4 linked regions of the Pelodiscus sinensis genome follow. The protein of the gene in region 1 binds, or shares a complex with, the protein of each later gene. Links are inferred from orthologs where the notes say so. Each region holds a gene or a part of one and is shown in the gene's direction. Other genes may lie near its edges.

Region 1 (7,402 bases):
GACTGGGCAACAAAATGGCAAATGAAATGTAATGTGGATAAATGTAAAGTAATGCACATCGGGAAAAATAACCCCAACTATACATAGAGTATGATGGGGGCTAATTTGGCTATGACAAGTCAGGAAAGAGATCTTGGAGTTATCGTGGGTAGTTCTCTGAAAACTTCCACACAGTGTGCAGTGGCGGTCAAAAAGGCAAATAGGATGCTAGGAATTATTAAGAAAGGGATAGAAAATAAGACCCAGAATATCTTACTGCCCCTGTATAAAACTATGATATGCCTACATCTTGAACACTGTGTACAGATGTGGTCTCCTCACCTCAAAAAGATATTTTGGCCTTGGAAAGGGTTCAGAAAAGGGCAACTAAAATGATTAGGGGTTTGGAACGGATCCCATATGAAGAGAGGTTAAAGCAACTGAGACTTTTCAGTTTAGAAAAAAGGAGACTGAGGGGGGATATGATAGAGGTATATAAAATCATGAGTGGTGTGGAGAGGGCAGATAAAGAAAAGTTATTTATTAGTTCCCATAATAGAAGAACTAGAGGACACCAAATGAAATTAATGGGTAGCAGGTTTAGAACTAATAAAAGAAAGTTCTTCACACAGCGTGTAGTCAACCTGTGGAACTCCTTGCCAGAGGAGGCTGTGAAAGCTAGGACTATAACAGAGTTTAAAGAGAAGCTAAATAATTTCATGGAGGTTAGATCCATAAAAGGCTATTAGCCAGGGGATAGAAGTAGTGTCCCTGGCCTCCGTTTGTCAGAAGCTGGAGAAGGATGGCAGGAGACAATTCGCTGATCATTGTCTTTGGTCCACCCTCTCCGGGGCACCTGGTGCTGGCCAATGTCGGCAGACAGGCTACTGGGCTAGATGGACCTTTGGTCTGACCCAGTACAGCCTTTCTTATGTTCTAAATTAGCCCAAATGTGGTATCCTTCCACACATTAGTATTATAAGTCCTCTTGCTACCAACCATACTCAAGTGCTGTACTGGGACACTTGAGAAACACTTGTTATTTTGTTCCATTAGCAGATTATGTTTCTCAGCATAAAATTTAGTTTTTTTTTTAAAAAAAGAGGTAAATTTCCAAATTGTTAAAGTAAGTTAACTATTAAGTGTCTGGTTTAATCTGACACTATTTCTCTGTCACAGGTCTGGCCAGTTCTGCAGCAAAGTCATCCTTGTATTCCTTATTAACTTCTTAGTTCTTACTAGGCAGATCCACCTATTCCTGGTCACAACTTCTGTAGGATGATGAAGTGGTAATAAAAACCTAAGAGACATGTTGAAGAAGCAATAGGTTTTCATCTTTTATTGTGGTGAGCCTGAAATGGAGTCTCTGGATTTAAACAGATTTTGTAACTGTGGCAATTTTCAGTGCAGTCTAACTCCATCAAAGATGTGCCTAGACACAGCGTTCATCCAACAATAAAACATACCATGCCACAAGAAAGTATTGAGCCTGTGATCAACAGGAATAATAGGAGGACTTGACTCACTGAGAACACTACACTGAGCTCCAGTAGGAGAAGTTGAGTTAGTGCGATGTCAACTGTGTCTTCAGAGTTAGTGTAAAGACCAGTGTAAAGACAGGAACAAGAGGTCTTAAACATGTGAATTAGTTATGGTTATCAGCAACTCCTCAAGGTTGTGTTTTAACTTGATGTAATTTTCTAGGAAAGATATGCTCAAAATGCTTTTGGCAGAAAGAGGCCAACATGGATTTTGGGGTCTCCTTCCACAGCTTCTCAGATTTCTATGTACCCTACACTTTCTCATCTTTTTCCTTGTGGCTTTGAAAACTAGTGTACTTGCCAAGGACATCAAGTGTCTTTAGTTAGTCTATGGCTGGCCAGTACACATCAACATGCTAACTCATTATCCTAAAGGAAATGCTAATCCTCAAAGTTCTCTCACATTAGGAATTATGAATCATTTGTCACAAATTTCTGGTGATGGACTATACTAATCTCATTTTCCACTAACCACTTTACCCCCACTAGGTCCCTAAAAGAGAACACATTTTCTTCTATAAAAATTTCAAACAGTAATAACAAGCCTATTGTGTCAACTAATTTCCTTTGATTTATTGCGTTTCCAGCCATACTGCCTTGTCCTCCACTCCCTTTGCCACACCAGCTTCACATTACTTTTCAAGCTCCCTAGATGAGAATGATTACCAGCAGTTTTAGGATAAATGAAGTGACAAAATATGCTCCCCACAATAAACTGAACAGCAAGTCACCTCCAATTTGATAAATGCTCAGTGTGACAGATCCATGAAATGTAGCCACTAATTTAGGAGACAGCACTACCCTTAGCAACATGGATCTTAGGCAGGTACAATCAGTAATCCTGATCTGACAGACCTGCAAGTACATGGAAGACAGATCCTTGAAGATCTGCCTGTAGCTGGTTAAAGACACCTTGGCTACGTCTACACTGGCGCATTCTCTCACACAAACTCTTTTGCGGAAAAGTTCCTCTGAAAAAGCTCTTCCAGAAGAGAGCATGTACACTGGCATGTGCTTTTGCGCAAGAGCATCCATGCCAGTGTAAATGCTCTCTTGCTCAAGAAAACTCTTGATAGCCATTTTAACCATAGGGCTTTCTTGTGCAAGAAATTCATGTTGCCTGTCTACACTGGCCTTTTCTGGAAGAGCTTTTGCACAAGAGGGCTTACTCCTGAGTGGGAGCGTCAGAGTTCTCGCACAAGCCCTGATTTTATACATTAGAACATCAGTTTCTTGCACAAGAACACATGGCCAGTGTAGACAGGCATCAAAGTTTGCACAGAATGGCTGCTTTTGTGCGAGATCGCATAGTGTAGAGACAGACCATATGTTCCTGGAACAGTGGTATTTTCACACAGTGATAGAGCACTACCATCTTTCCAGAATGATACAGGATTCTTTTCACTATACATTCAAAAATCCAAAATGTTCTGCTGGAAAATACCTATCTGGTATTTATATACAAGTTCTCACATTGAATCCAGTTCAACATAGGGGCTGCGTCTAGATTGGCATGATTTTCCGGAAATGCTTTTAACGGAAAAGTTTTCTGTTAAAAGCTTTTTTGGAACAAAGCATCTAGATTGGCACAGACGCTTTTCTGCAAAAGCACTTTGAGTCCGTGCCAATCTAGACGCGCTTTTCCGCAAAAAATCCCCAATCGCCGTTTTTGCGATCGGGGCTTTTTTGTGGGAAAAAAATCTGAGCTGTCTACACTGGCCCTTTTGCGCAAAAGCGGGACTTTTTGCCTGAATGGGAGCAGAATAATATTTCCGCAAGAAGCACTGATTTCAGACAGTAGGAAGTCAGTGCTTTTGTGGAAATTCAAGCGGCCAGTGTAGACAGCTGGCAAGTTTTTCCGGAAAAGCGGCGGATTATCCGGAGAAACTGGCCCGTCTAGACACAGCCAGGGAGTAAAGGGGTAACTGGTTTCCTGGTAAGCATTGCTGTACTGCATGCTTACTGGAATGACTAGATAACGCCAGCTGGAGCAGCTACCTGCCGTGGCAGAGGGGTCAGGCTCACAGTGCCGCAGCGGGTTGTCCCGTCCTGGCCAGGCCTTACCAGGCAGAGGGCTGCTCCAGCGGGGCCTGCCTGTGTGCAGGGCGGGCGGCTGGTCAACCATTCAGTTCAAGGGTGAGGGCTTTGAACTGGACGCTCCTTCCCTCAGGAAAGCGGGGCCCCTCCTCCCAGCGATTCCCAGCCGGACACTCCCGCGCAACATCCCGCGCCCCCCTCTCCGCAGAGCCGGGGTGTCTCGTGCGCCGGGCCCCGCGCTGCCGGGCGAGCCCCGGGGGGGGGGGGCCGATCTCCCGGGGCGATTTCCGCGCTCGGGGCGGCGGCCGCGGGGTCACGCGCCACAGGGCGCGCGCGCGGGGGGAGGGGCGTGTCCGTGGCTCCCACGCCCCGCGGGGGGGGGGGGGGAAGGGCCGCGCCCCGCTCGGAGGCGGCTCGGAGCCCCGGGGCGCCGCTCGGCCCAGCCCGGGACACACTGACCTGAGGGCGGCTCGGCGGCCTCCGTGGGGCTTTTCATGGCGGCGGGAGGGGCCCGGGCCGCTCAGCGGGCGGCCCCGCGGGGCCCCCTCATGTCCCGGCGCTGCCGCCGGGCCGGGCCGGGGCGGGCGGGGAGCTGCAGCGCCGGGCCCGGCCCCTCAGGCGCGGCGGGGGAGCGAGGACGAGGCGGCGAGAGCGGCGCCCCCACCCCGCGCCGGGCGCGGCTCACCAGGGCCAGGCCGCCCCGCCCCCAACTGTCAGCCGCGCGCGGCCCCGCCCCCGGGCTCGTGCGGGGGGGGGGGGGGGCGGGGTTTCCCCGGCAGGCGGGACGCTCGCGGCCGGGCGCCGAGGCCTGAGGCCGCGTGCGCGCAGCAACCGTCGAACTGGAGGGGGAGGGGCGGAGCTCACTTGGGGCGGCCAGGCCCTTCCGCATCCGGCCGCGCGCGCGGTGCATGGTGGGACGCCGGCCATTGAAGAGCGCTAACGCGGAGCCCACGCCGCAGGGAGACGTGCCTCGCCGAGCGTAAGTGGCGGGCGGGAGCAACCACCCAGCCCCGCGTGCGGGGAGCCGGCCGGGCCTGGGGGGGGGGGGGCTCTGCTCCTTCCCCTCCCCCCCCCCCGCACCGGCATTGTGACCGCGTGGGAGCGGCCGGGCCCGTCGCGCGGTGACTCCCGAGGGGGGGTTCGCGCCTCTAGGCGGGTCTGCCCCTTGGCTGGGCTGTGGGAAGCCCCGTGCAGTGAGATTGACCCCCCCGCGCGGAGCTGGGCCCGGCCCGGCCAAGGCAGCCGCGTCGCCGCCGGGGGGGGGGGGGGGGCTCTCGCGTGGGGCGGGGGCTGCGGATGGAGCAGCCTCTCGATCCCCTTCCCACTGCCTTGGATGGCAGCAGCAGGGCTGGGGGAGGCAGGGGGCACTGCAGACATGGTGCTGTGGGCACTGGCTTTCAGCCTGGCTCCCACCAGCATTGGCTGCACTTCTTCCTCCCTATCCCCCTCCCTCCACTTGCTGCCTCGTAAGCCAGCAGCCAATGCGCCACTCAACTACCCCATAAGATTGTGCTGATTAGGTAGTCAACTAACACCCCTGCTGGTCTAGGACACGTTACTTAATTATTTGTGCTCACATGAATAGTTGACTTGAAGTCCATAAATGCATCAATAAGAATTTGCAGCATTGGGCCATAAAGCGTCTCAGTGGCTTTGACACATCCTTTTCACAAGGACTTAACAAGACTTTGAACTTTCTCACCCATTACCAAGACAGTTTCCCCAATTATCACCTGTAATACCATTAACTCACAAACATCCCACTCTCCCTACCTTTAATATCAGCAATTCACAGACACTTACCTTCCTTCCTTCCCCCCCCCCCCCCCGCATCCCCCTCCTGTTCTGCAATGTGATTTGTCCTTTTCATATTTGTTCATTTTTTTTAATTGTTTCCTTTGGTATATATGGTTGTGACTACTTTCTTCCACTATTTGATCTGAGGAAGTGGGTCTGGCCCACGAAAGCTCATCATCTAATAAACCATCTTGTTAGTCTTTAAAGTGCTAATTGTCCTGCATTTTGCTTCAGCTACCCCAGACTAACACAGCTACATTTCTATCACTATTCCTTTTCATAGGATACTAGGTGAATACTTTTTTCCTAGCTGCTTAGCCTTTTTTTCAAATTTGAAAGAGGTCATGTCTTTTGTTACCAGCTTCAGTTAGTAAAGGAGACAAGCTCATGAGCTACATAGTAGCGATGTTTTTTTTTTTTTTTTAAAAAGAGGTAATTGGGCAAATGTATAGCCATTGAAAACCTCAGTGGTTACCTGCAGCCTATATTGTTATACTTTCACATCCCTGCTACATAGAGCTCTTCTTCTGTTAATAAAGATACTGCTTTTCTATCCAATGTGTTGGGACTAACATGGCTATGAAACCTCTTTCCCGGATGATAAGAGACAGAAGGGTAGCCAAGTTAGTCTTTAAGGTGCTTCTAAACTATTTGATATTTTTTAAATTTTTCCTGTTACAGACTAACAAAACATGTACATGGTATCATGGGCTTTTGTGGGCACAACTCACTCCTTGAAGAAGGCATCAGTTTCTTTAACTTAAAGGAAAATAGTCTGGGGCATAGCCATGTTAATCTGTAACTTTAGAAAAGTAGTTCTGTGGCACTTTCGTATCATGAGCTTTTGTGGGTTAGACCCTCTTCATCAGCTGCACTTCTCTGATGCCACAGAACTATTTGTTGTTTTTAAAAGAAAATATTATTTTCCTTTCTTTAGTAGCAAGCTAGTGTCTTAGCATTGCTGATTTCTCTGCTTTGGTATTCTTAAGCCAGTTTCATTTTGTTGGTATAGACCATCAAAGTTAGAAGAGTTGAGTAGATGTAACTAAAACGATATAGAAAAGAGCCTCTCAACCCTCTTTTGTGACTAACTCCTCAAGTTCCTCAGTGTTTCTTCTGAAAATATAGAAAATTTGAACTTTTTCTTCCCCATCTTCCATGGCACTTGGAGATGTCTCATTTCTTTCCTTGCTACCAAGATTTTGAGACCCAACATGGTCTTTAAAATAAAATGGTTTGACATTTATATAGCTGTTCAATGTGTATAGAAGCCTTAATTCTGATGACCTGTTCTGTGAATAGTTAATGGTGGCAAAAATTCTATTTGAGCAAGCTGACACTTTTCAAGGACATTCAATTTATAGGGGGGAAAAAACAGGAGCCAGTAGTTTTGTATTCTCTGGATTAAAGCTTTTATAGAAATCTGAATTGTGTAGGCAAAGTTTCTGGATAAAGAAACTTACTGTGCTCTTCTGCTTTTTTTTGTGTGTGTCCCCTAGTTTTAGAGAAGTACTACTGCAAAGATGTCCATCGGAGTTCCAATCAAAGTGCTGCATGAGGCAGAAGGCCACATTGTGACATGCGAGACGAATACAGGGGAAGTCTACCGTGGCAAACTCATTGAGGCTGAGGACAATATGAACTGCCAGGTATGTCTGGGAAAAGGAATTATGCATTTTTGGAAAGGTCCCTCTTTGTTGCTTTTTAACTTTACTAAAAATTGACATCTGAGAATAGACGAGAAAGGTGGGTTATCATGCTCTGTAGCTTTGCCAAAGTGAAATAGTCTCACCTGTGATCTAGAGGGGACAGCTGATACTTTTTGGTATATAGGGAATGTTCCTAATATAATTTATGCGTTTTTCAGAACTCGGTTCTATGCCTAATTTGAGGAAATTGCATTTTGCTCATTATTTCAACAGCTTCTCTTGAGTGCTACATGCTCAATTCTAATTGATTTTTTTTGAGCTAGAGTTTTATGTTCAAATAACAAATCATTCACTTTTCTCATGAGAAATTACTTTTGTAATCTAATGTGTAATTACTTT
Region 2 (7,988 bases), on another chromosome or scaffold:
CCCACTATTAATGGGATTTCTCTTTGGGTATGTCTACACTTGCCCCCTACTTCCAAGTAGGGAGGCAAATGAAGCATATTGAAGTCGCAAATCAAGCCCAGGATTTAAATATCCCGCGCTTGATTTGCATGTTCCCAGCCAGTCGCCATTTTAGAAATTCACTAGCCCGGAGTAACTGCCCGCGTCTACACGCGGCAGTGAAACGGGAGTCCGATTTAAAGCCCTAGCTCAAATTAGCTGGTATTCCTCCTGCAATGAGGTTTACCAGCTAATTTGAATTAGGGGCTTTAAATCGGACTCCCGTTTCACTGCCGCGTGTAGATGCGGGCAGTTACTCCACGATAGTGAATTTCTAAAATGGCGACTGGCTGGGAACATGCAAATCAAGCGCGGGATATTTAAATCCCGGGCTTGATTTGCAACTTCGGTGTGCTTCATTTGCCTCCCTACTTCGAAGTAGGGGGCAAGTGCAGACATACCCTTTGTGTATAGATCTATTTATAAAGAAGAGAAGGGGTATGTCATTCAAATTATTCCCCACCTCTGTTGTGGTGTGAAGAAGAAATTATATAACTAACCCCCCAAGTACAATAGCATGTTCCCCTGTTACGAAGGCAGGACCTCAACAATAAGTTTGGCACAATATGAACTTATTACCAAAATGTCACTTTAGTATTAGTATTAGTATTAGTATTAGTATTAGTATTATTAAAGTGTCTAAAACACTGACTTTTCAACCTGTGATATGTGGGTCCCTGGGGTCCTCAGAGTGTGTCTAAGATTGCCAAAAGGGTCTGTGGCTGCATTTGAAAATGTTTAGAAGTCCACAAATGAAAAAAGGTTGAAAACCTCTACTCTAAAAAAATGACACTTAATTATGGTATTTCCTATAACAGAATTAATTCAGAATAAAACTGAGCATGATCTGGGTGTGGTGGCAGCAATATAAAGGGGTTTCTGAATGTCCCTTCTTGTCCACAATGTTATCAATCCCTGTGTACAGCTTCACTGATGTACTGGAGTCATTGAAGTTATTGAATTGGGAATAAGTGAATTTGGGATGATATTTCCTTTTAATAAACTTTCTCTCTGAAAATGACTGTCTGGTAAATATACACCAATCCAAGTTTACCATCATCTCAAAGGGCAAGATCATCTATCTGAGAAAAATCTCCTTTAGGAAAAATTTTCAGAATGGTATCAGTGTCACAGTCTCTCCCGCCACCATACTTTATGAAAATTTGCTTATGAGAATACATAACTCAAAGATAGGGTTGCCAGGTGTCCAGTTTTGAACCAGACAGTCCAGTATTTCACTTTCTGTCCGGGAAACAAATTGAGAAAATATTGGACATATAAATGTCTGGTATTTTCTAATTATGTTCTTATTATTATCATGAGTATCAGTACGTAGTTGCATACTGCCTAGCTGGTAGACATACTCATGCAGAACGCAACTATGCAGTAGAGAGGAGGGGGGCAGGGGTGGGATGGAATCCCCAGGGCCAGACTTGCCCGTGTGACCCGCCGAGACTGTGCGCAGGATGGGCAGCACCCTGGGATCTGCGTGTGCCTGGGCCAGCCCCACTCCCCGGCAGCCGGTTCCCAATCCTCCCATTCCCCCCTTCCCGGCCACCCCCGCTCCCCTCTCAGACGGTCCCTCCCCCCGATCTGAGATCAAGTATGTCTGGTATTTTTTTTAAACCATCTGGTAACCCTACTCAAAGATGTTTTATGCAAAATAAATAATGTGACATGTAATTTTAAAGTTTGTAATCCGCTGAAATTGTATATCCTATTTTTGGGTTTGTATCATTCTTGTATGTGGATCTGTTAATTCTAAATGTGTTAAAAAGGATCATTACTGATGCTCTGGAAACGTAATGACTCAGCTCTCAAACTAACGATCTGTGAATAGCCTTGTTTGTCCTGTGAGTCCAAACTATGGTTGATCCTAGACAGATATGTGGCCAGGACACTTGAGGCTGAAACCCATTTTGGATCTGGTACTTTTCCACTTAAGGTGAGAAAAGTTTGAATTGAGCACAAAGAATTCCTGCCTTGGGCAAAAGGAATATGGGCCAGGGCAAAGAATAGGGCAGTTGCCAGATGCCAGGAGACTCAGCAATTACCTAAGATGCCCGCTGGAAATATCTAGGACTGAACAGGGGGAAAGGATTGGGCCCATAATAGCAGGCTGCTTAGCTTGTGAAAGAAATGTTTAGATCAATTGTTTTAGGGTAAGAATTCACATGCAACACATTTCTTAGTATATCAGAATTAGCTGGGTTTTTTTTTATTTTAACTTTGTAACTAACTTTGATCTGTTTTCACTTGCAACCATTTAAATCTTACTATTTGTACTTAATTAAAAACATCTACGTTTATTACCAAGCCCAGTGTAAATAACTGTTACCTGGGGGATTGCAACTATATTCATATCTCTCTTTCATTGATAAAGTGGGCGGGCATCTTTACAAGTTTTCTCTGTGTAAAACTTTTACACAGGGGAAGACGAATTTGTTTGGGGTTTTGGTTCCTTTTGGGGGTTGGTTTTCTTGGTGCTAAGCCCTTATAACTGACTCTTCCCAGAGCTAAATTAGTTCAGTGTCAGTTTTGCTCTGCAGGGTGGGGCAGGAACCCCAATTCTGTGCCTTTTTTGGGGGAAACCAGAGCTTCTGGTCAAGCAAGACAGGGTGGTGAAGAGCCCCAGAAGGCAGGAAAGTGGGCATTATTGACATGATCAGCACACTAGGGGACAACCTCAAAGGGACGTCTGTAATCTAACCCATCACAATCAGATCTTGGTTTACTGGAGATATACACAATCCTTTTAATTTATTCCCAAGTCCAGAAATAATATTTTAGTTCAAGAATTTCTAACTATAAATCTGGAAGATAATTATCAACATCGGTGCACAAAACAGTGACAGGATTAGTAAAGAGATCCATAGTAGAGTTATCAATCCTAAAATTTTCTCAAACAGTGAAGAGTCACAGTGTAGCAAAAGGCAAATCCTTCTCTTGTACATATGTTAAGATGAAACACAATATTGATGAGGAAATCCAAGTCACTTATCTAGTCTTTGTCTTCAGTAAGTTTGTCATTGTCATTGTCATTGAGTTTATCCCTCTTTTCCAAAAAAGTTAGCACTGGCTTTCCATATCTCAGATTTTTTTGTGATCCTTTCCCTTTGACAGCCAATGAACATTCCAGTGGAGCACTAGCTCTTCCTGCAAAGCAATCCAGTGGGATATTTTGTGTTCATGGCTACATAGATTTATGCCAAATGCCACTCAAAATCAAACTTTTTTCATAGGGCTATAGTGTCACACAGTAACCCTATAGATTTAGACTCTTTTCCTTCTATAAACAAGAACGGGTTTTCCCAAGCCATGTTAAATTCTTTCCTTGCAACAGCATTGTCATAGATTTGTTTGGATGTGCTGGGCTTACTAAACAATACAGTTAAGTAGCTAGCTGTACAGAGTTCAAAGGCCTCACAGAACTATTATAAATCATGAGATGGATGAGATGGTTGGGCCTGGACTAAGGATGTTAAATATCAAGTAATTTACTAGTTGAGTAGTGGATGGAATTTTCATTGAATACTCCACTAGTTGATAGGCACTTCCACATTCCTCCTTTGAAATGTACAAGAGCCCCTGCTGGGGTACTCTGTGTGCAGCCTGGGGACAGCAGGAAGTCCCGCTGACTCTGGGCTGCACAAGGATATCAGCTTTAAAAATGCGCAAAAGTCCCCAGTGGAGGCTTTTGTGCATTTCAAAGCAGAAGCACCTGCATGGAGCCTAAGGTCAGCGGCAGACTCAGCGGTACGCCTAGAGGGCAGAGTTTTTCTGGGATACCAGAGGTATCCCAGAAAAGCTCTGCTGCATCCAAGCAATGCATCTGCTTTTAAAAAAAAATTTCAGAAAAGCAGATGCATTTTTTGGCATCCCTGTAAACCTGGTTCTGTGAGGAAGAAGGGATGTTCCAAAAGAGGCTTTTTTCCTGACATTTGGCCTGCTGTAGACGGGCCAATTTTCAGAAAAGCCTCTTTCTGAAGAAAAGTGGGAAGAAAAGTGCAATTTGAATATCTTTTGCTGTTAGAACTTGGTAGTGTAGACGCAGCTTCAGAGTCCACCACTGACCTCAGACTCCATGCTGCGCCACCTCTTTGAAATGCCATGCAGAGGCATGCCCCTCTGGCTGACCCCGAGCTTCATGCAAATGCCACCATGGTGCTTCAAAGGGGCAGTACTGCATGGAGCCCCGGGGCAGCTGTGTGCGACACTGCTTTAAAACGATGTGGCGTTTCAAAGGTGCAGTGCCGCACAGGTGAGCTTGGGATCAGCTGTGCAGTGCTGCCCCTTTGACAGAGCAGCACCGCACAGAGCCCATGTATGAGCCCTGTGCAGCATTGTCACTTTGAAGTGTCCACCCCTTTCTTCCTCCCCCCCTTTGCTGCCTCTGTCAAGGGGAGGGGGAGGGAATTAACTAGTCGACTGGACTATCTGATAGGCATTTGCTTATCAGAGAGTCAACTAGTCCTTAACATCCTTAGCCTGGACTCCATGGGAGCTAAAGGCCTTTATTTATTGGGGTTTTAAAAATTCTTTGACACTGGGATGCCTGCCACACCCTGCAATGTCTGCCAAGGGCAGCTAGAGCCACAGAGCGTCCGCCCCGCGTGATGTAACGAGGTAGAGAAATATGTGTCCTCCCCCTCCACTGGTAACTGCACATCCCAGTTGCCTGGGGGCAAAGACGAACTAGGGGACAACTTCAGCCAAACAGGAAACACACCCTCTTGACACGGAGGTAATAGCCTTGTAAACAGGAAGTGACGTACAAGTATACGGGCATTAGACAGGTCTGAACAGGAAGTAGCAACAAACGAGAAGTGACGTACATATAAACAGGAAGTAACCCATAAATTATCCGGAATTCGTGCGCAATGAGCCTGGACGAGCATGTAATGACCCGGAAGCACTGTAGCGCCGATCCCGGAAGTTTCGTGTTGCGTCGGTGCCATTTTGCGTCTCCATGGGCTCCTCGAAGAAGCACCGGGAGCGGGGAGAGACCGGGGGCTCTGAGGAGCAGCAGCCGCCGCCACCGCCGCCGCCCCCTGCTGCCTCCTCTTCCTCCTCCCGGCACCGGGAGCACAAGAAGCACAAGCACCGCAGCGGCGCGTCGGGCGAGCGGCGCGGGAAGCGCAGCCGGAGCCGCGGGGAGCGGAGCAGCCGGCGGAGCGGGGGAGAGGAGGCGGCCCGTGGCAGCCATGGCCGGGCCGGGGACAGGGGTGCCCAGGAAGCCGAGGGTCCCCGGCGGATCAAGCGGGAGAAGCGCGACGAGGGATACGAGGCGGGTCAGCGTCCGGGCAGGGGAATGGGGAGGCTATGGGACGAGCAGCCCGAGAGATTGAGACGCTTTTGAGGGGAGGACACCGGGATTCTGGGAAAGGGCCCAAAGGGAAGAAGTGTGGGGTAGAGGAGGAGGCAGCCATTGAGGGGCTATTGATGGCCGAGAGAGGATGGGCTGTCAGTGAGTGTCCGAGAGAGAGGAATTTGCGTGGGGGTGCTCTCGGGTTCAGCAGGCGATTATGGGAGTTAAAGATTGGCGTGTGACTATGGGGCTTGAAGAAGCGTTATGGTCAAGGCTCTGCGGCCCAGGGAGGGGATTGGTGTGGTAATGAGCTCAGGAATGAGTAGAGTAGTAGGCTTGGCGAGAGGTGCTCTGGGATGGCAAGTGTCTGGAGGTGTGAAGGTGGCTATGAGAGTTTGGATTGGCTGTGAGGTTTTATGGCGGGGACTGGCTGCTGGGGAGATGTTATGGAGGTCACGTTTTGGGAATGGGATAGGTGGGGGATCAGTGCATGTGCACCCTATGTCGTGACACTGAGGCATGAGCTTTAGGAGGGCAGGGGGCATGACTTCGTTGGGGGGTATTGATGAGGCATTCTAATCTGTGATGGTTTAGTGTTGGGCATGTGAAGTTTCATGAGATGGAGGAGGAGGAGTCATCAGGGGCTGTCCTGGTGGAGGTGGGGCATGAGGTTTAGGGAAAATGTAGACTTGCTGACTTAAGGGGTGGTGAGGTGAGTTTGCAGAAGGAAGAGGAGTGAAAGAGTAAAGCAAGGAGTGTGAACATGCACATACGTGTAACTTTTCATAAATGGGTTATGAAAGGATTTTGGAGCAGATGAAGTCAGGACACGTCAAGGCTGTGTCTACACTGGGCCGCTTATTCCGGAAAATCAGCCGCTTTTCCGGAATAAGCTGCGAGCTGTCTACACTGGCCCTTGAATTTCCAGAAAAGCAACGACGCTCTACTGTAAAAAATCAGCTGCTATTCCGGAAAAACTATTCTGTTCCCGCACGGGCATAAGTCCTTATTCCGGAACACTGTTCCAGAAAAGGGCCAGTGTAGACAGCCCAGTAGTCTTTTCCAGAAAAAAGCCCCGATCGCGAAAATGGCGATTGGGGCTCTTTTCCGGAAAAGCGCGTCTACATTGGCCACAGACGCTTTTCTGGAAAAAGGGCTTTTCTGGAAAAGCAGCCTGCCAATGTAGACGCTCCTTTTCTGGAAAAACTGAAAACGGAATAGTATTCCGTTTTAAGCAGTTCTGGAAATTCATGCCAGTGTAGACACAGCCCTAATGTAAAGGGGCTTCTTTGGTTGGTTATGGAGCATCTATGTATAAAGTGCCCTGAAAAGGTGTCTTAATCCATAACTCTAAGCAATAACTGTAATGACCTATGATTTGGATAGACCTTTTTTCTGGCAGTATCGGTTTAGTACATCCTGTTTTACGGTACCATATTCTGTTGTCATGGTATCTAGCCACTGACCTTTGATGCTCCAGAATAGTGCAAGCTATTCAACAGAATAACAGCTTGGTTCCCTCTGTGGGGATCTTTATTCCAGGTAATGGGCAGTACTATAGGAGACATGCTGAATTTTCAGGTTACTGTAAAGTGTGTCTGTCTTCACAGCATTGTTCATTATAAAAAGTGTATATGTCTGAGCTGGGTGGGGTCTTTGGTAAATGCTATGCAGGAGGTCACACTAGTTGATCAGAGTGGACTAGGGATGTCAACGTATAGTCAACTATATGATTAACCGATAAGCCTAGACTTATTGGTTAATCCTGTCAACTGCACACATTTTCCCCTCCCCCTTGCTGCCTCTGTATCTAAGGAGCTGATACAGAGCGGGAGCTGATAGAGGCAGCAGTGAGGTGGGGTGGGCTAGAGCTGATGTGCATAGGGAGCCAGCTTTCCAGCCAGCTCCCTGCACCTATCGGCTCTATGTACTTGCCTCCTACAGAGGTAGGGGGAAGTAGGGCAGGCAGGAGCCAGTGCTGGGAGGAGCCAGCAAGTCCCCCCCCCCCCCCCGCCCCGCTTATCAGAGGCAGCAGCGCAGGGGGTGGGGCAGGGGAGGCTTCCTCAAAGCAGCCTCTGTTTCTGGCAGGCTGAGCTCCCGGTGAACAGAGGCTGTTCCACATCCCATGGAGCAGCCTCTGTCTGTGGTGAGCCTGGACCTGCCACGGGCAAAGGTTGCTTTGCGGAAGCAGCCCGTCTGCAGGGGATCCATCCCACAGAGCAGCTTCTGTCTGTGAGGAGCTTGGACTCCCCATGGGCAGGGATGCTGCTGCCCCACACTGCTGCCTCTGCATTAGGGCAGCAGGCAGCTGGTTCACAAGAGGAGCTGGTACAGAAGCAAGACCTTGGGATGGCAGAGGCCTCCCTGGGAGTGGGTCTGGGAGTGCACTGGCTGCTGGCCCCAACCCTGGGGACTGTTGAATAGTCATGTAATCACTAACATTTCATGCCGTTACGTGACTATTTAATTGCAGGATAGCTAACATCCCTAGAGTGAACCCTTCTGGCTTTAACAAAATCCTTGTTTGAATACATTTTACTTTTATCTTGTTTACAAACATCTCTCTGATTTATCTCTAAACAGCTGCTAGCTCAAAGGCCAG
Region 3 (7,593 bases), on another chromosome or scaffold:
TTCAGTTTTTTCCTACTAAGGCACTGCAGTCAGAGTTCTTTACTAACCTTCAATTGCTGATTAGTGCGTTTCAAGAACTGCACCTCTTCACCATGTTTCTTCTCCTCTACCTGCCGCCTTTCACTTTCACGTTTTTCAACAGCTTCACATTTAGCTTTCTGCTCATTGACTTGTCTTTCCAACTCTCGCTTTTCATCTTCTAATTCTAGAATCTTATAAAGAACATAGGTATGCCTGGTAGTCATTGTTATGTTTTTAAATACAATTAAAATATAAGATATAAATTTTACTATCTTTGAAGAAAAAAATGATAATCGACAATTTGTCCATTAAAGCAGCCTCAGGAAATCAGCAAGATGTGTTTTGATCTTTACTGCCACCCAGTGGAACTAGAAAACTTTTTTAAAAAGGTAAACAATATTTTGAAGCAGTTTATTGATCAAATCAGAAAATAGTGAAGGTTTTGTTTGTTGATTTTGTTTGCAAAAGAAATTGTCAGAGTGCTCTAATAAATGTGAGAAAATCCCAATGAGCCAGGATGAGGAAGATGAGAAGCACATTTTTGAGCCAGATCATAGGTACACTATGAGTTTACAGCCTCACTTACTCTCTTTTCCATGTCAGATTTGCCCTGTTCAGCCTGTAATGCCTTCCTCATACCAAAGGCAACACTACTTTCATACAGTGTCTGATAAGCAGCGATGGTCATTCGGATTTCATCTCTGACTCGAAGCAGCAATAGTCCCCGCTCTGCACAGTTAATTGTAACCTCACGGATGAGTTCATCTTTAAATAAAAAAAGTGTAACAGTAAACAGAGAGAGAGAACGTTTACACGGGTTTCAAGACAAACATTTTGACATGGGTCAGTGTGCTTGGCAACGTAATTATGGCCATGACATTTGTGGTGTTCAAGACAAGGTAGTGTAGACCTGAAGTTTCCTATGGCTAATGAATAAAAAATTAATTATATTAATATATCTCTCTGACCCAGTGGCTGGTTTCTTCCTCCAGTCTCCATGGTTGGTCTGTGACAGCAAGAAGAGTAACAAGGTGTAACCAAGATATTTAATTTATTTAACATGACAATCTAATTATTAGAGCATGAACTAAGTGTGGTTGAATGAATTTTTCCCTCCCATGCAAATATGCAACCCCAGCTTACTATTCAATGCCCTGTTGCCACAGTGACACCTTCTCGGCATCAGCTTGTATATAGACATTTTTAAAAATATACTGTTCTGTAGACAAGCTAAAATTAAGAGGAAATACGCATGTGGCAACCATGCTTCATCTATATATGGTGGTGAGAGATGCAAGAGGGCTAATACAATATTTTTAGTAACAATGAAAGCTTTCCCACATGCACTTCCTTCTGCCAGTCTGTCTCAGCCCTGCACTGTAGGGGACTCATTAAAACCAAAAGAGGAAAATGTGTGTCCATTCTGACTGAGGGTTCTTTACTGAGACTTCATAAAGTAGCCTTCTTATGTTAATTCTGATGTGGATCTCTGCACCAAGAAATGAACTGAAATCAATAGGTCAGACAGACAGACATGGGATGGTAATGACCATAGTTCCTGCTAAGGTGTGCGCCTGTGTGGCCATGCACACAAAATTCTTCCCTCATCCCCCTCCTCTGGAGAGCTTCACAGCAGCACTCACGCAGCAGGTGGCTGCTCCTGTGGGTGGGGCCGGCTGAGATGACATGGTGAGGGAGCCACTGGGGCAGAGGGCTGGGACCTGGCAGCTGGGGCCAGGAACAGGACCTGCCGCATGGGGAGAGGGCTGTCTGCGCCAGCAACTGGGAATACGATATGCTACATGGCGGGGGGAGGGGCGGGTTTCTGCTCTGAAGGCTGGGAACATGTGTGTTAATAACTTGGGTGCCATAGTGGCACACATCCAAACCAGCGCACATGACCTCAGTATTGGTGCACAAGCCAAAATTCACTCTGCTCATGGTTGGAAAATCTTAGTGAGAACACTAGTAACGACTCTTATTCCTTCCTGACCAAGGTGGACAAGAATCCATACACGTTAGATAGAAGTCTCCACTTCCCATTCCCCATGTCCTGAGCTATTCAGAAACTTCTAGTATTATAGTATCCTTCAAACAAGCCTTTTGCTATAGTATCTTGGACCTAGATGTATTCACTGACCAAAGCATTGTGAGTAGAGTTCCCTGCGGACAGGACAAATCCCAGTTTCTCGAGCCTGCCTTTGCTGTAATTTGAGATCCAGCTCTTCCTGCAGATGAACTACATCCATTCGGGTACTGGGAGTGGTGGACACCTGCTGAATCCATAACTGGTTGTCTTCCACCCATTCTCTGCATCACAAAAGCAGCACAGACTAAATCAGCATATGCTTGAGCTCTCATTTCCACCACAAACTGAAGGAATCCCATATTTTGTACACAAAAGCATGCAATGCAAGCATGTTCTCCTGCTTCCATTGTCAGTAGAATCGAGAGATCAAGTCAGCACAGATTCTGTTGAATGTCCTGATCCCTAAACAAATGCTAACTTTACATCCTTCATTACCCCTACTGAACTGGTATTTCAACAACAGAGGAATTTGATAGCATTTTACATAGCAAGTAAAGAACTTTTAACTACAGGATACTTAGATAACAGTAAACATAGCTAACTGTTCAGAATGGCAGTGTTCAGATATCCAGGCATGCTACATGGGCATCAGGCAAGACACAAGACTTAAAAAGGCTTAGGGACTGCTGTTTTGTGGCTGATACTGCATGTAGTAATCTGAAACAGCAGAAAACATTTCTAGATTATATTACTTTTGAAACGGATGTATAATTAATCAAGGCCACTCACTACCTCATAGGTATTGAGGAAATTAGAAAACATATTATGTAACTACCACTAATCAGTCAGCACCAACTATTAGATGAGCCACATGCACTGACGGGAACAAATATTTTATTTAGCTAGAAATCCATCTCCCAATCTCTCCCCAACGCTATTTTGTGACAGTCACTGAGGGCAGGTCTACACTACAAGGGACAGGTCAATCTAAACTACTCAATTTGAGTTACATTAGCAGCATAGCTCAAATTGACGTTTAGATCTACTTACCATAGGGTCCACAGTGTGGGGAGTCAACTCAAAAGTCTCCCATTGACTCCCCTTATTCATCTTGTTCTGCTAGAGTACCGGAGTCAACAGGAGAGTGATCAACAGTCAATATAGTGAATCTTTACTAGTGATGGATCGATGACTACCGTGTGGCTCCACCTTATAGTGACATGCCCTGACTCCTAACATTCAGAGCCCCTCACTGCCTGCCCCCAACCTTAAAATTTCACACTGATGACTTCTCCTGGGACCATGGTGAAAGGGTGCAAGAGCAGTTTCTTGCCTTGGTGGCAGGATTGCATTTAAGATTTCTTCTGCCTGTTTTGTTGGATCTACAGCTGTAGGAGTAGTCTTGGGTTTTGGAGGAGGCGGCACAGGTCCAGTTGACACTGGCTGCTGAGGACTCACTTTCAAAGGACGCGCCTGCAAACAAGAAACATACCAGGGCTATAAAGGCACGGCACATGTTTCAGCCAGGGTGCGTGGGGAAACCACACAGGCTCCCCATGCCCTCATCTCATGCAATTCCCTCTCCAACAGAATAACCCCTAGATTTCCCAGTTTAGGTCTCTCACATGCTCCATCACTTAAATTTCTCCCGGCCCCCCCCATAATCCCTCTTTCCCCATGAGCCCCCAGTTCAACCCGCCCCCCACCTCCAGCCCCCCCTGCCCCCCCCGCTCATCCTTCTCCGCCCTCCACATAACACCAGCTCAATCCTGTCCCCGTGTACCGCTTCCCCATGCACCCCCACCCCCTCCCTATGCACCCCAACCCCTCCCCCCTCCCCATGCACCCCCCCACCCCCTCCCCATGCACCCCCCCCCCTCCCCCCTCCCCATGCACCCCCCCACCCCCTCCCCCCTCCCCCCGCACCCCACCCCCTCCCCACGCACCCCCATCAACCAGCCGCCCGATGCCCTCCCAGCTCGCTCGCCCCCCGGCAGCCCCTTTACCTTCGGGGAGCGCTTCTCCGGGTTGCGGCTCACCAGCACCGGGGTCTCGTAGCGGAGCAGCGAGTCCGCCGGGGGGATCATGGCGGCTCCGTGGCTCGCTCTCTCCCCGCAAGCCGTGTACCGTCACCATGGCAACAACGGGGCCGCGTTCCGCCGTGTCACGTCGTCACGAGGCGCCCCCGCCCGCCAGCGCTCGACCCAGGCTGCGAGAAAAGTGGACCGCGCACGCGCCGTGCCGGCTGTGGCGAGGAAAACGGGTCCAGCTGCGCATGCGTAGAGTGTAAAAAGCGAACTCAGGGCTGGCGAGGCCGGGCCACTCCCTCAGCCCAGCCAAGGCTGAGAGCAGCCAGATCGGCTGAGGAAGGCGCCGCGCGCCCAAGGCCACCTCACACAGCGCGTTGGTTTCCACAACGCCCGGGTTATTCACGCGAGGCCTCCCACGTCACCTGCTTCCCCCCCCCCCGCGCGCACACCCCTCAGGCCTGCCTGGCACGAGTGCTTCCGGGGCGCCGGGCACAGATGCCCCGGAAGCGGAAGTACTAGGCTTCTCGCTTACTCTTTGTGAGCGGAAGGGCCTTGCGCAGCCGCCGCTTTTCCGCTTGCCGGGGACGTGCGGCCGCAGCCCGGCTCGTGGGGTCCCGGCGGTAGCCATGGAGGAGGCCGAGCCCGAGCGACGGCGGCGGAAGCGGCGGCGACAGGAGCAGGAAGACGGGGGGGAGAAGCGGAGCCCCCGGCGCTCCCGCTCCGCCCGGGGTAGCCAGTCCCCGCCTGCCGAGCGGAAGCAGGGCCCGGCCCGGCCGCATCAAGCAGCCCAAGGCCGCAGCAGGTATCAGCCGCCTGCGCTCAACCCGCTATGGCGGGAGTGGAGAGCCTCGCTCGCTGTCTCGTGCGGTCCTTGCGGCTCCGCTGGACGCTGTGTGGGAGACTCAGGGCGCGCGGGGGAGAGCCCCCCCTTCCCCGGCCCCCCTCGGAGATTCCCCACTCCCGCTCAAAGGTTTCTCCCAGCGTTTCCTCCTCCTCCCCCACTTCTTCCCTTCAGACCGGTTGGTGTCCACCGCCCCCAGATACATAGAGCGGGGCAATGGCCCAATTGTTTTTCCTTCCGTGTGTAGAACAACATTTTGTGTGCATCGGAGCGTGTGCAGATGTGCACTGCTACATTGTGGGTAGCTGTGGGCCCTCTGCCAATCAGCTGGGTGGTATTTGAATCCTCTGTGCTGCAGCCCAAGCTCACAGCTTAAAGGGAACACTGCAACTGGGAGACCCTTCCCCACCACCTCATCCTTCTATGATACAATACAGGACAGTAGTAGTTACAGATTAAGGTTAAATTGTCAGGTGTGTTTTGCACAAGCCTTTTCCTTTCCTTTTTTCCTTGGGGCAAGAGTGGGTTGTGGACCCAAAACATGATTTTTTTTTTTGAATATTTAAAGGTCACCAGCAAAAAGAAAGAACAAGTCATCTGCTAAAAGAGGCAAGTCTCCAAGAAGTAAAAGAAGTAAAAGCCCTCATCATATTGTAGTCAAAGTAAAACAGGTAATTTGCTGGATATTAAGCACTAATGTCCTAGCACTGAAAATTATGCTATATGACTGAGGCATGACTTGAAATCAGTGGGCATCTGTTGAAACCAGTTGTCTGTCTGCTTAGATTAACGTGGGAACGCGATCTAAATAGGATGGTATGACTAATTTATCACTTGATTACCCTATTTTTTTATTATTTGATTATTTTTATCGTTTATTATAATTTGGACATTTAGGAACTTCCACCAACGGAGTGCTGTGCACACTACTAAGGCCAGAAAAAGTTCTGTCACTCAAGGGGATGGCATTTTTTTCCACACCAGTTATACTGTAGACTATGGATGTTAGTATGTAGCCATTTCCACAAATAACCAAGTTAATCCTGACAACTACACTTGTGCACACACCCCTTTTCTGCCTCTGTATCAGAGGCAGAGAGGGGGGAAGGTGGGAGCTGGTGCCTGGGGATCCACCTGCCCTCCTCACCCCTGCTGCTTCCCACAGCGGCTGGTATGCAGGCAGAGAGAGAGACAGGTGTGTAAACATGTAACCACTAAGAAATCTAGTGGTTACACATTTACACAAATAAACATTAGTTAACATCCCTAGTGTAGACATGTCCTAAATCATAAAATTGAGTGATTGTTGGGGATTATTTTCCCAACTTGAGTGTTGAAGAACACTATACAACAGTGTTACTCATGCACAGGGCTCGCCAAGCGGCGGTGAGCCCTGCTCGCCAGCCGCGAGGTTCTGCGAGCTGCGGATGCGCAGATCTCATGGTGCTGGCTGTGCCAGCTTGTAATCTACTCACTGGGGGTGAGTAGATTACATGATTTGTCGAGACCTGCTCATGCATGTAGGCCGTGATACCTTTCTTGGTGAAATTGTGCAAACAAAGATGTTGGGAAGTGAGATGAAACCGTGAGAGTAACCTTTTACAAAGTGGGTTCCATAATGGAATGTCTAGAAAACAGTGGCTATTGAGTTCAGCTACATAGTAAGATTTTATGCATGTGTTGAAACATGCAGAAGACTGAATAACCAAAATACACTATAATTTCTGTGCTCGGGGTGTTTCTAATTCAGCAACACCCATAATATGATATGGACCCTGGCAGGTGGAGGCAGAAATAGCTCTGTTGTACCCCCTCCTTCCCAGCTAGGGGAAACAGCAGTACAGGGATGCATTCTGCTGGAGGCTTTTTCCTGTTGCTCCCATGGGAGTGCCAGGTAACAACCCTGCTCCCATCTTCCGCATTCTTTCCTTGAGCTGACAAAATCTTTAATCCAGCAAAACCTGTTTCCTAGGGTTGCCATATTAAAGTGGTTTGAGTGTAGATTGAACCTCTAAAATCCTCATCAACAATCTTGGTTCGACCAGACCACAGATATTGCTGGACCAAAGAGTCCCAGCGGCTGGAAGCAAGAGGCCAGCCAGGGTCAGGAGCTCAGTTCTGGCCAGGGCCAGCCGCAGTAGGGCCAATGTGGCTGGGAATGCAACTCTAGCTGGGACTGACAGCACTGGGGCCAGCATGGTGGGAAACAGCCTAACAGCCAGGGCTGACACCCAGTAGAAGGGCCGAAGTGGAGCTGACAGTGGGGAGGGGAGCCTTGATCTCCCCTGGTCTGGCAAACTCTCTGGTTCAGGACCACTCAGATGCCTGAGGGTGTGGACCAAGGAGGTCAAACCTGTATTAGGAAAATTTGTTCTAAACATTGGTCTGTAATATCAGCAGTAGTTTAGAAACTTGGTTTAAGATGGTATTTTTCCATGTAAGGAAATGACCAAATTGTTAAGAGCATAGCAAATATTTTAATTTAATTTTTAGATTTTAAACTTTCCTGGCCAACAGTTATTTTTGCTGCCTGTACAGAACCCAGCATAATCCTCAGTGGGGAGTTCAGGGTTCTACCCTAATATCAGTGGTAATATATAATTTAAAATAAGCCAAGCACTAGTAAATTATATGTAAGCCAAGAACCTTTGCTTTTTAAAAGAAAGTAACTG
Region 4 (7,344 bases), on another chromosome or scaffold:
CAGGGAAAACAATTCTGTATTGGCTGCTGCATCTGTTTGCTTGCTTCTGCATCACTTTTATTATCTGTTTCTAGCTCATTAAAATTTGCTCCTGGATCTCCCGTCTGTCTTGTTTATAGTTTTCTTTTAAAGTCTCTCTCCACACCCTGTGTTCTTAGAATCATAGACTCATAGAGCTGGAAGAGACCTCAGGAGATCATCAAGTCCAGCCCCCTGCCCAAGGCAGGACCAATCCCAACTAAATCAATACAGCCAGGGATTTGTCAAGCAGAGACTTAAAAACCTCTAGAATAGTGATAGAGATGCAGCCATGTTAGTCTGGCGTAGCTGAAACAAAAGACAGAACTATGTAGCACTTTAAAGACTAACAAGATGGTTTATTAGGTGATGAGCTTTCATGGGCCCATCTTGTTAGTCTTTAAAGTGCTACATAATTCTGTCTTTTGTTTTAAAAACCTCTAGGGATGGAGATTCCACCACCTCCCTAGGTAACCCATTCCAGTGCTTCACCACCCTCCTAGTGAAATAGTTTTTCCTAATATCCAACTTAGACCTCTCCTACTGTAACTTGAGACCATTGCTCCTGGTTCTGCCATCCGTCACTACTGTGAACAGCCTTTCTCCAGCCTCTTTGGAACCTCCCTTCAGGCAGTTGAAGGTTGCTATCAAATCCCCCCTCACTCTTCTCTTCTGCAGACTATACAAACCCAAATCCCTCTGTCACTCCTTATAGGTCATGCACTCCAGCCCCCTAATCATTTTGGTCGCCCTCCGCTGGACCCTCTCCAATGCATCCACATCCTTTCTTGTTTTATTCCTCTGAGGATTGGAGCACCTTGTGAAACATATCCTCCTTGGTTGCTTCCAAGGCACCCCACTAGTGTGTAGGTGTGACAGTGTTCCCAAGGGGCAACCTGAACAGTGATGTTGCTGAGCCCTCTGCCCTATCAACCTGGGCTCTCTCTTATACTGTGATGCCGTTTGCAAGCCACAAACCTCTGGTAGGTACTGCATGTACACAGACTTCCATGGACAGGACCATACCCACGCTGAGTTACATGAATGCTCCTGTCAGTCACTCAGGAACCAACAATAGACAGGTTCCAGCCAATTCCCCACAACTTTCCAGCTTCGAACACCATCTGTACCATCTTGCTCCGGTAGCCTTGTTCAGCCAAACCGCACTGTTGTAGGTTTATTAACTACAGTAAGGTAGATTTTCAGTGATCATAAGTGGTAGGCACGAGAGATCAGAGCTAGTTATCAAAGGAAAGAAAAGAAAACAAAACAAAACAAAAGAAAAGGGCACAAGCTAAAGCTTAACCCTGAACACACTAGGCAGTATTTAGATCTAGCAGTTTATAGGGATGTAAAATCCTGATTAATTGGTTAACTGGTTAAATGCGATGTTTAGCCAGTTAAAGGGGGCTGGGCTGAGCCCGTGCAGCCCCTGCTGCAGGCAGGAGCAGCCCCTGCCTGTGATGCACCTGGGCCTGCCGCAGACAAGAGCTGCTCTAGCTGGGCTGGAGCTACCCCTATCTGTGTGGGCCCTATTGGGGTGGAGCAGCCCCTGCCCACAGCAGGCAGGAAGCTGTTGCAGTCCCCACTGGTTAACTGGAGCCAGTAAGCATCAACTGTTAAGGGTTAACATTTTGGGTGCTTAGCAGTTTACTCGCCCACGGATGCTACACAGCTCTTAATACACAGGCTTCCCTCTCACTCCCAGAGCAGTCCCACATAGGATTGCCAGGTATCCGGTTTTGAACCGGACAGTCCAGTATATGAGCTTTCTATTCAATAAACAAATTGAGAAAATATAAAATTTGGAAAATCATGGAAGATGGGAGAGATTCCAGAAGACTGGAAAAGGGCAAATATAGTGCCCATCTATGAAAGGGAAATGAGAACAACCCGGGAAACTATAGACCAGTCAGCTTAACTTCTGTGCCAGGAAAGATAATGCAGCAAGTAAGTAAGGAATTCATCTGCAAATATCTAGAAGATAATAAGGTGATATGGAACAGCCAGCATGGATTTGTAAAGAACAAATCATGTCAAACCAATCTGATAGCTTTCTTTGATAGGATAATAAATCTTGTGGATAAGAGAGAAGTGCTGGACAAGTATACCTAGACTTCAGCAAGGCATTTGATACGGTCTCGCATTATATTCTTATCAATAAACTAGGCAAATACAACTTAGATGGGGCTACTATAAGGTGGGTGCATAACTGGCTGGATCACCATTCTCAGAGAGTAGTTATTAACAGTTCACAATCCTGCTTGAAAGCTATAACAAGTGGGGTTCCGCAGAGGTCTGTTTTGGGACCGGTTCTGTTCAATATCTTCATCGACGATTTAGATATTGGCATAGAAAGTATGCTTATTAAGATTGCAGATGATACCAAGCTGGGAGGGGCTGCAACTGCTTTGGAGGATAGGGTCATCATCCAAAATGATCTGGACAAATTGGAGAAATGGTCTCGGGTAAACAGGATGAAGTTAAATAAGGACAAATACAAAGTGCTCCACTTAGGAAGGAACAATCAGTTTCACACATATAGAATGGGAAGTGACTGTCTAGGAAGGAATACGGCAGAAAGAGATCTAGGGGTTATAGTGGACCACAAGCTAAATATGTGTCAAGAGTGTGACGCTGTTGCAAAAAAAGCAAACATGATTCTAGGATGCATTAACAGGTGTGTTGTGAGCAAGACATGAGAAGTCATTCTTCCTCTCTACTCTTCACTGATTAGGCCTCAGTTGGAGTATTGTGTCCAGTTCTGGGCACCACATTTCAGGAAAGATGTGGAGAAATTGGAGAAGGTCCAGAGAAGAGCAACAAGAATGATTAAAGGTCCAGAGAACATGACCTATGAAGGAAGACTGAAAGAATTGGGCTTGTTTAGTTTGGAAAGATGAAGACTGAGGGGGGACATGATAGCAGTTTTCAGATATCTAAAAGGGTGTCACAAGGAGGAAGGAGAAAAATTGTTCTTCCTGGCCTCTGAGAATAGAACAAGAAGCAATGGGCTTAAACTGCAGCAAGGGAGGTTTAGGTTGGACATTAGAAAAACTTCCTAACTGTCAGGGTGGTGAAACACTGGAATAAATTGCCTAGGGTCGTTGTGGAATCTCCATCTCTGGAAATATTTAAGAGTAGGATAGATAAATTCTATCAGGGATGGTCTAGACCAGTGGTCTCCAACCTTTTTAAGCACGAGATCACTTTTTTAATTTAAGTGCAATCCAAGATCTACATCACACCCAAATACCCTTGCCCCGCCTCCTTTGTGCCCCTTCTCTGAGGCCCCGCCCTCCCCGCTCACTTTCACCCTCACTTTCACCAGTCTGGGACAGAGGGTAGGGGTGTAGGCTCTGGACTTGAATTAAGGGATTTGGAGTGTAAGAGGGGCTCTGAGCTGAGCTTGGGGCAGGCAGTTGGGATGCTGGAAAGGGTTCTAGGTGCAGGCTCCGGCAGGGCATTTGGATGCAGTGCTCCGGGCTAGGGCAGGGGCTTAAGGTGTAGGAGGGGGTTCATGACTGGGGCAGGGTTTCAGGATGTGGGCTCCAGCTGGGCCCTGCTTACCTCAGGTGGCTCCTGGGTGGTGGTGCAGTGGGTATAAGGCAAGCTCACCCCTGCCCTGACCCTGCTCGGCCAGCAAACTCCATTCCAAGCAAAAGCAGCCGGCAAACTCCATCCCAAGACTTGTTGTGCCCCCTCTATGCCCTTGGAGATAGGACACAGAGTGGGAGAGGGGGCTCCCTGACATAAGCATCCTCCTTTCCCTCCCCTGCCCAGTAAGCAGGAGGCTCTTGAGGAGACAGCTCCAAGACAAACGGCAGGAGAAGGGCAGCAGTGGGGGTGGAGGGCAGCTGAAGTGCCGGCACTTGATAGCTTCTTGCCCAAACCAGTCAGGATCCCCTGTCCGAGGCTCCAAGATCTACCAGTAGATCCGGATCTACTGGTTGGTGACCACTGGTCTAGACAGTAGTCGGGGACTGGACTCGATGACTCTCGAGATCCCTTCCAGTCCTAGTATTCTATGATTCTATGAGATGAGAAAATATAAATGTCTGGTATTTTCTAAAGAAGATGTAATGTAGAGTGTGGTGTAATGTAAAATGTGTCCGGTATTTTTGTTGAAACCATCTGGAAAATGGCTAGTCCCACACTGGCCACTCCATCTCTTCAGAACTACAATTCCCAGCATGCAAAGCTCTTTGAGGTGGGCGGGGTCAGCGCCTCCTTGCCTTAGAACTACAACTCCCAGAGGACAGCGCGGTAACTCGTTTCTTTTTACTGGCCACGTGCGCGCTGATGCTGCTTGCTGCGGAGGCGCTAAGGTCTACGATACCGAGAAGGCGGCGCGCGAGGCTGTGCGTGTTGACGTTCGTTACGCTGGATGCGCCGCCGCGGCGTACATTGCCGGAACGCAGCGCTTCTTCTGTTTAGCGGCGGGCCGCCCGCCGCGTGGTGACGTATGACGACGTCGCCTACGGCGGCTGTTCAGGGTCCGACCGGGCGGGAAGATGGCGACCGAGCACCCGGAGCCGCCGAAGGGGGAGCTGCCGCTGCCGGCCTACGGGGCTTGGGCGCCCGCCGAGCTGCAGGCCAAGCTGGCGGAGATCGGGGCCCCGGTTCAAGGTGCAGCCCCGCGGGGGGCGCTCAGGCGAGGGCGGTGCTTAGGAATGGGGCGGGAGATACCGGGGGCTGCGGGGGGGGGGGGGGCGTTGCTTGGCGCTGCCGGGGGGCAGGGGCGGGCGGGGCAAACGGCTGGTGGTGGCTCAGGGTGGCTCTGACGCTTCATCTGTATCCTCCAGGCAGCCGCGAGGAGCTGGTGGAGAGGCTGCAGACCTACACGCTGCAGGTGAGTTACTCGCATGGGGGAGGAGACCCGCTCTGCCACCAGACATGGCCTCCCCTTGGCCGGGCCATTAGCGCCAGCCCTAACTCCCCCACCCCTCTCCTCTAGCTGAAAGGGATCTAAAGGGAGCCCCGAACCTAGGGCTGGCAACCTGCAGTGGGAGACTTTACTGCCTGGCGTGCACTGTGGTGTCACACGACCTGTGGGTATGGTAGAGGGGTCTTCCACCTTCACTGCCCCAAAGCCACATGCACAGTGTGAGCAGTAAACACACTCCACAGCCTTGTGATTAGTGACATTGACTAGGAACCAAGAGGCAAGCAGCCTGCATTCCCTGGCATTAGAGCAAATGAGCAGCATTAGGTAGTGAAGACTGATGCAGTGGTTAGGGCATCAGCTGCGGCTCAGGAGACCTGGGCTCTAGTCCCTACTCTGCTACAGACTCCCTGGGAGACCTTAGGTGAATCACCCAGAGTCTTTGGCCCTTAGTTTGGCATTTGTATCATTGGGCTAATAGTGCTGCCATCCTGTAAGAATAAACAAATTAACAAGTGGAAGGTGTTCAGATAGTGTGTTAACAAGGGCCAGAGAGGTACCACTCAGCTTCAACTGTAAGCTGGGTTGTGACCATCCCCTGATTGAACCATCATGGGTGCTAATGACTTAAAGGAAATTGTGAATTTCCTCATAAGACTGGAACGTGTGGGTGCTATAGCTGTGTGAGGTGGAGGACGTCAGTGACATAGACATCACTGTTCAGATGCCACGAGGGTGCTCTGTCCTAGTGAGGGTCCTTAAGGCTCCATCTGGGCTACTATATTCCTTCCTGTCACATGGTACAGCAGGGTTTGACTAGCCCACTCTCCCGCCCAACAGCAGAGAGATAATGGCAAGTGCTCTGTTGTGGCCTCTGCTCTCCACCCCAGTATGTCTGTGGATGTTGATAGTAATCAGCAGGGCTCACCGAGCTGCAGATCGCCCGAATCCAGCTCTTCCGGGATGTAATCTACTCGCCCATGGCGAGTAGATTACATAGATAGTCGAGCCCTGGTAATCAGGACAACTGTTCTGCACACTGGTGGGAGATGGGCTGCTGATGTTTGGACTACTGGGGGTGGTTTTATTTCTATCCCCATCTCTGTGCCACATGGCCCTGGGCCTTCTTGGTATCAGTATCCCCATCTGGATTTCTGTCTTGGTTGTGGTATTTTGTGTTGTGAAGGTCTTTGTGCAGCATCTGCAGGTTCCATCTTGCTTGGAGAGCTCCACCTTATTGTCTGTCCTTGTGGTGATGGAGAGTTGGTCTCCCCAGGGCCTGGATTTCCTTTCCTGACCCAGAGCATGTCAGTGAGGCCTCTAAGAGAAGCTCCCCAATGGACAGACTTTCACTTGCTTTGCAGCTATATTTATTGTGTCCTCCCTCCACAGACTGGCATCGTGCTGAGCAGGCCGTCTCTCAGGGGAGATGACGGTGACAAACCCACCCCGCCACCAATACCCGGACAGGTGAGTGAAGGGGTCATAGAGAGGAGGAATCTTGGCCTGGCTAAGCCACAAGGGCTTCCCTAGGGACTGGCTGTCTTGCTGTAGATTTCCTATGTTGAGAGGAGGCTGTCTGGGTGACTGACTTCAGTTGGTACTTCCTGCCAGGAGCTGTTGCTAACCCCAGCATCCTGAAGAGCAATACTGTTCTACTTTCATAAATCCATCCCACTCTTTCTGGGATCCAGGAGCTTCCTGCTCATGCTCACCAGTGCTGAGTGGCTCTTGAGCTGGTACTGCTGCATTTGCATTCGGGTGCAGCAACTCGGTGCTGGGTGATGGATCTTGGTTTAAATAATCTGTGATACTTCACACTCTGTGTTGGTCTTTACCTCGTCATCTCTTCTCTCATTTATAGCTCTCTGGGATCCCCTTGCCCCCACCCCCCATGGGGATGCCACCCATGCAGCCTCCACCACCCCCACCGCCTCCCCCTGGCATCAGCCTCAACTTCCCTATGGCCGTGGGGCCCCCTCCACCTCCCCCAGGTATGGGGCCCCCCCTCCGCATGCAGAGCGTGGACCCTTCAGCGCTCTCAGAGGAAGATCGTCTGAAGCTGGCGCAGCAGCAGGCTGCCATGCTAATGCAGCAAGAAGAGAGGGCTAAACAGGTAAGAGCTGTACTGCAGGCAGTGGGGTAGTGGTTTTGTCCTTCAGTGCTGGCTCCAGGGTGGCTTATGGGGTGCTGTGCTGTAGAGGTTCCGTCTTTGGCTCTCCCCTGTCTCAGTGCTGACCTAAGTGCCCTTGTGTGGTGTGAGCAGGTGCTGTGCTGCAGAGACCTGGGGGGCAGTGAGTGCTGCAGTGTGGTTAGCCTTGTGCTGCAGGATATCTGCTAGGTTATGTAGAACAGCCACTTTGTTTGTCAAGAGCCTGGGCTTTTTAATCCTGGCATCTTGGTTGCATCTTAGCTACTGTTTTGCCATTTGGCCTCCTTGA

What was found.
Region 2: SNRPD3 (region 1) and SART1 share a complex: the UniProt entries of both Homo sapiens proteins name them as parts of the U4/U6-U5 tri-snRNP complex. The link is inferred for Pelodiscus sinensis from reciprocal best matches to the Homo sapiens genes SNRPD3 and SART1.
Region 3: SNRPD3 (region 1) and SNIP1 share a complex: the UniProt entries of both Homo sapiens proteins name them as parts of the minor spliceosome. The link is inferred for Pelodiscus sinensis from reciprocal best matches to the Homo sapiens genes SNRPD3 and SNIP1.
Region 4: SNRPD3 (region 1) and SF3B2 share a complex: the UniProt entries of both Homo sapiens proteins name them as parts of the minor spliceosome. The link is inferred for Pelodiscus sinensis from reciprocal best matches to the Homo sapiens genes SNRPD3 and SF3B2.

Annotation. Positions count from the first base shown.
Region 1 is NC_134725.1:6,973,812-6,981,213, reverse strand, and holds the start of SNRPD3 (small nuclear ribonucleoprotein Sm D3), read left to right. Parts: upstream 1-4,397; 5' UTR 4,398-4,421; coding exon of another isoform or gene 4,422-4,467; 5' UTR 4,468-4,536; exon of another isoform or gene 4,537-4,542; intron 4,543-6,853; 5' UTR 6,854-6,877; coding exon 6,878-7,003; intron 7,004-7,402. Other genes in the region: protein GUCD1, read right to left, coding at 3,585-3,645. UniProt on the Homo sapiens protein: Plays a role in pre-mRNA splicing as a core component of the spliceosomal U1, U2, U4 and U5 small nuclear ribonucleoproteins (snRNPs), the building blocks of the spliceosome.
Region 2 is NC_134721.1:33,049,087-33,057,074, reverse strand, and holds the start of SART1 (U4/U6.U5 tri-snRNP-associated protein 1), read left to right. Parts: upstream 1-4,985; 5' UTR 4,986-5,047; coding exon 5,048-5,369; intron 5,370-7,969; coding exon 7,970-7,988. UniProt on the Homo sapiens protein: Plays a role in mRNA splicing as a component of the U4/U6-U5 tri-snRNP, one of the building blocks of the spliceosome. May also bind to DNA.
Region 3 is NC_134735.1:9,846,411-9,854,003, reverse strand, and holds the start of SNIP1 (smad nuclear-interacting protein 1), read left to right. Parts: upstream 1-4,589; 5' UTR 4,590-4,706; coding exon 4,707-4,882; intron 4,883-5,489; coding exon 5,490-5,592; intron 5,593-7,593. Other genes in the region: DNALI1 (axonemal dynein light intermediate polypeptide 1), read right to left, coding at 48-212, 608-786, 2,162-2,331, 3,384-3,523, 4,057-4,137. UniProt on the Homo sapiens protein: Required for pre-mRNA splicing as component of the spliceosome. As a component of the minor spliceosome, involved in the splicing of U12-type introns in pre-mRNAs. Down-regulates NF-kappa-B signaling by competing with RELA for CREBBP/EP300 binding.
Region 4 is NC_134721.1:32,231,671-32,239,014, reverse strand, and holds the start of SF3B2 (splicing factor 3B subunit 2), read left to right. Parts: upstream 1-4,339; 5' UTR 4,340-4,532; coding exon 4,533-4,647; intron 4,648-4,823; coding exon 4,824-4,870; intron 4,871-6,295; coding exon 6,296-6,373; intron 6,374-6,767; coding exon 6,768-7,019; intron 7,020-7,344. UniProt on the Homo sapiens protein: Component of the 17S U2 SnRNP complex of the spliceosome, a large ribonucleoprotein complex that removes introns from transcribed pre-mRNAs.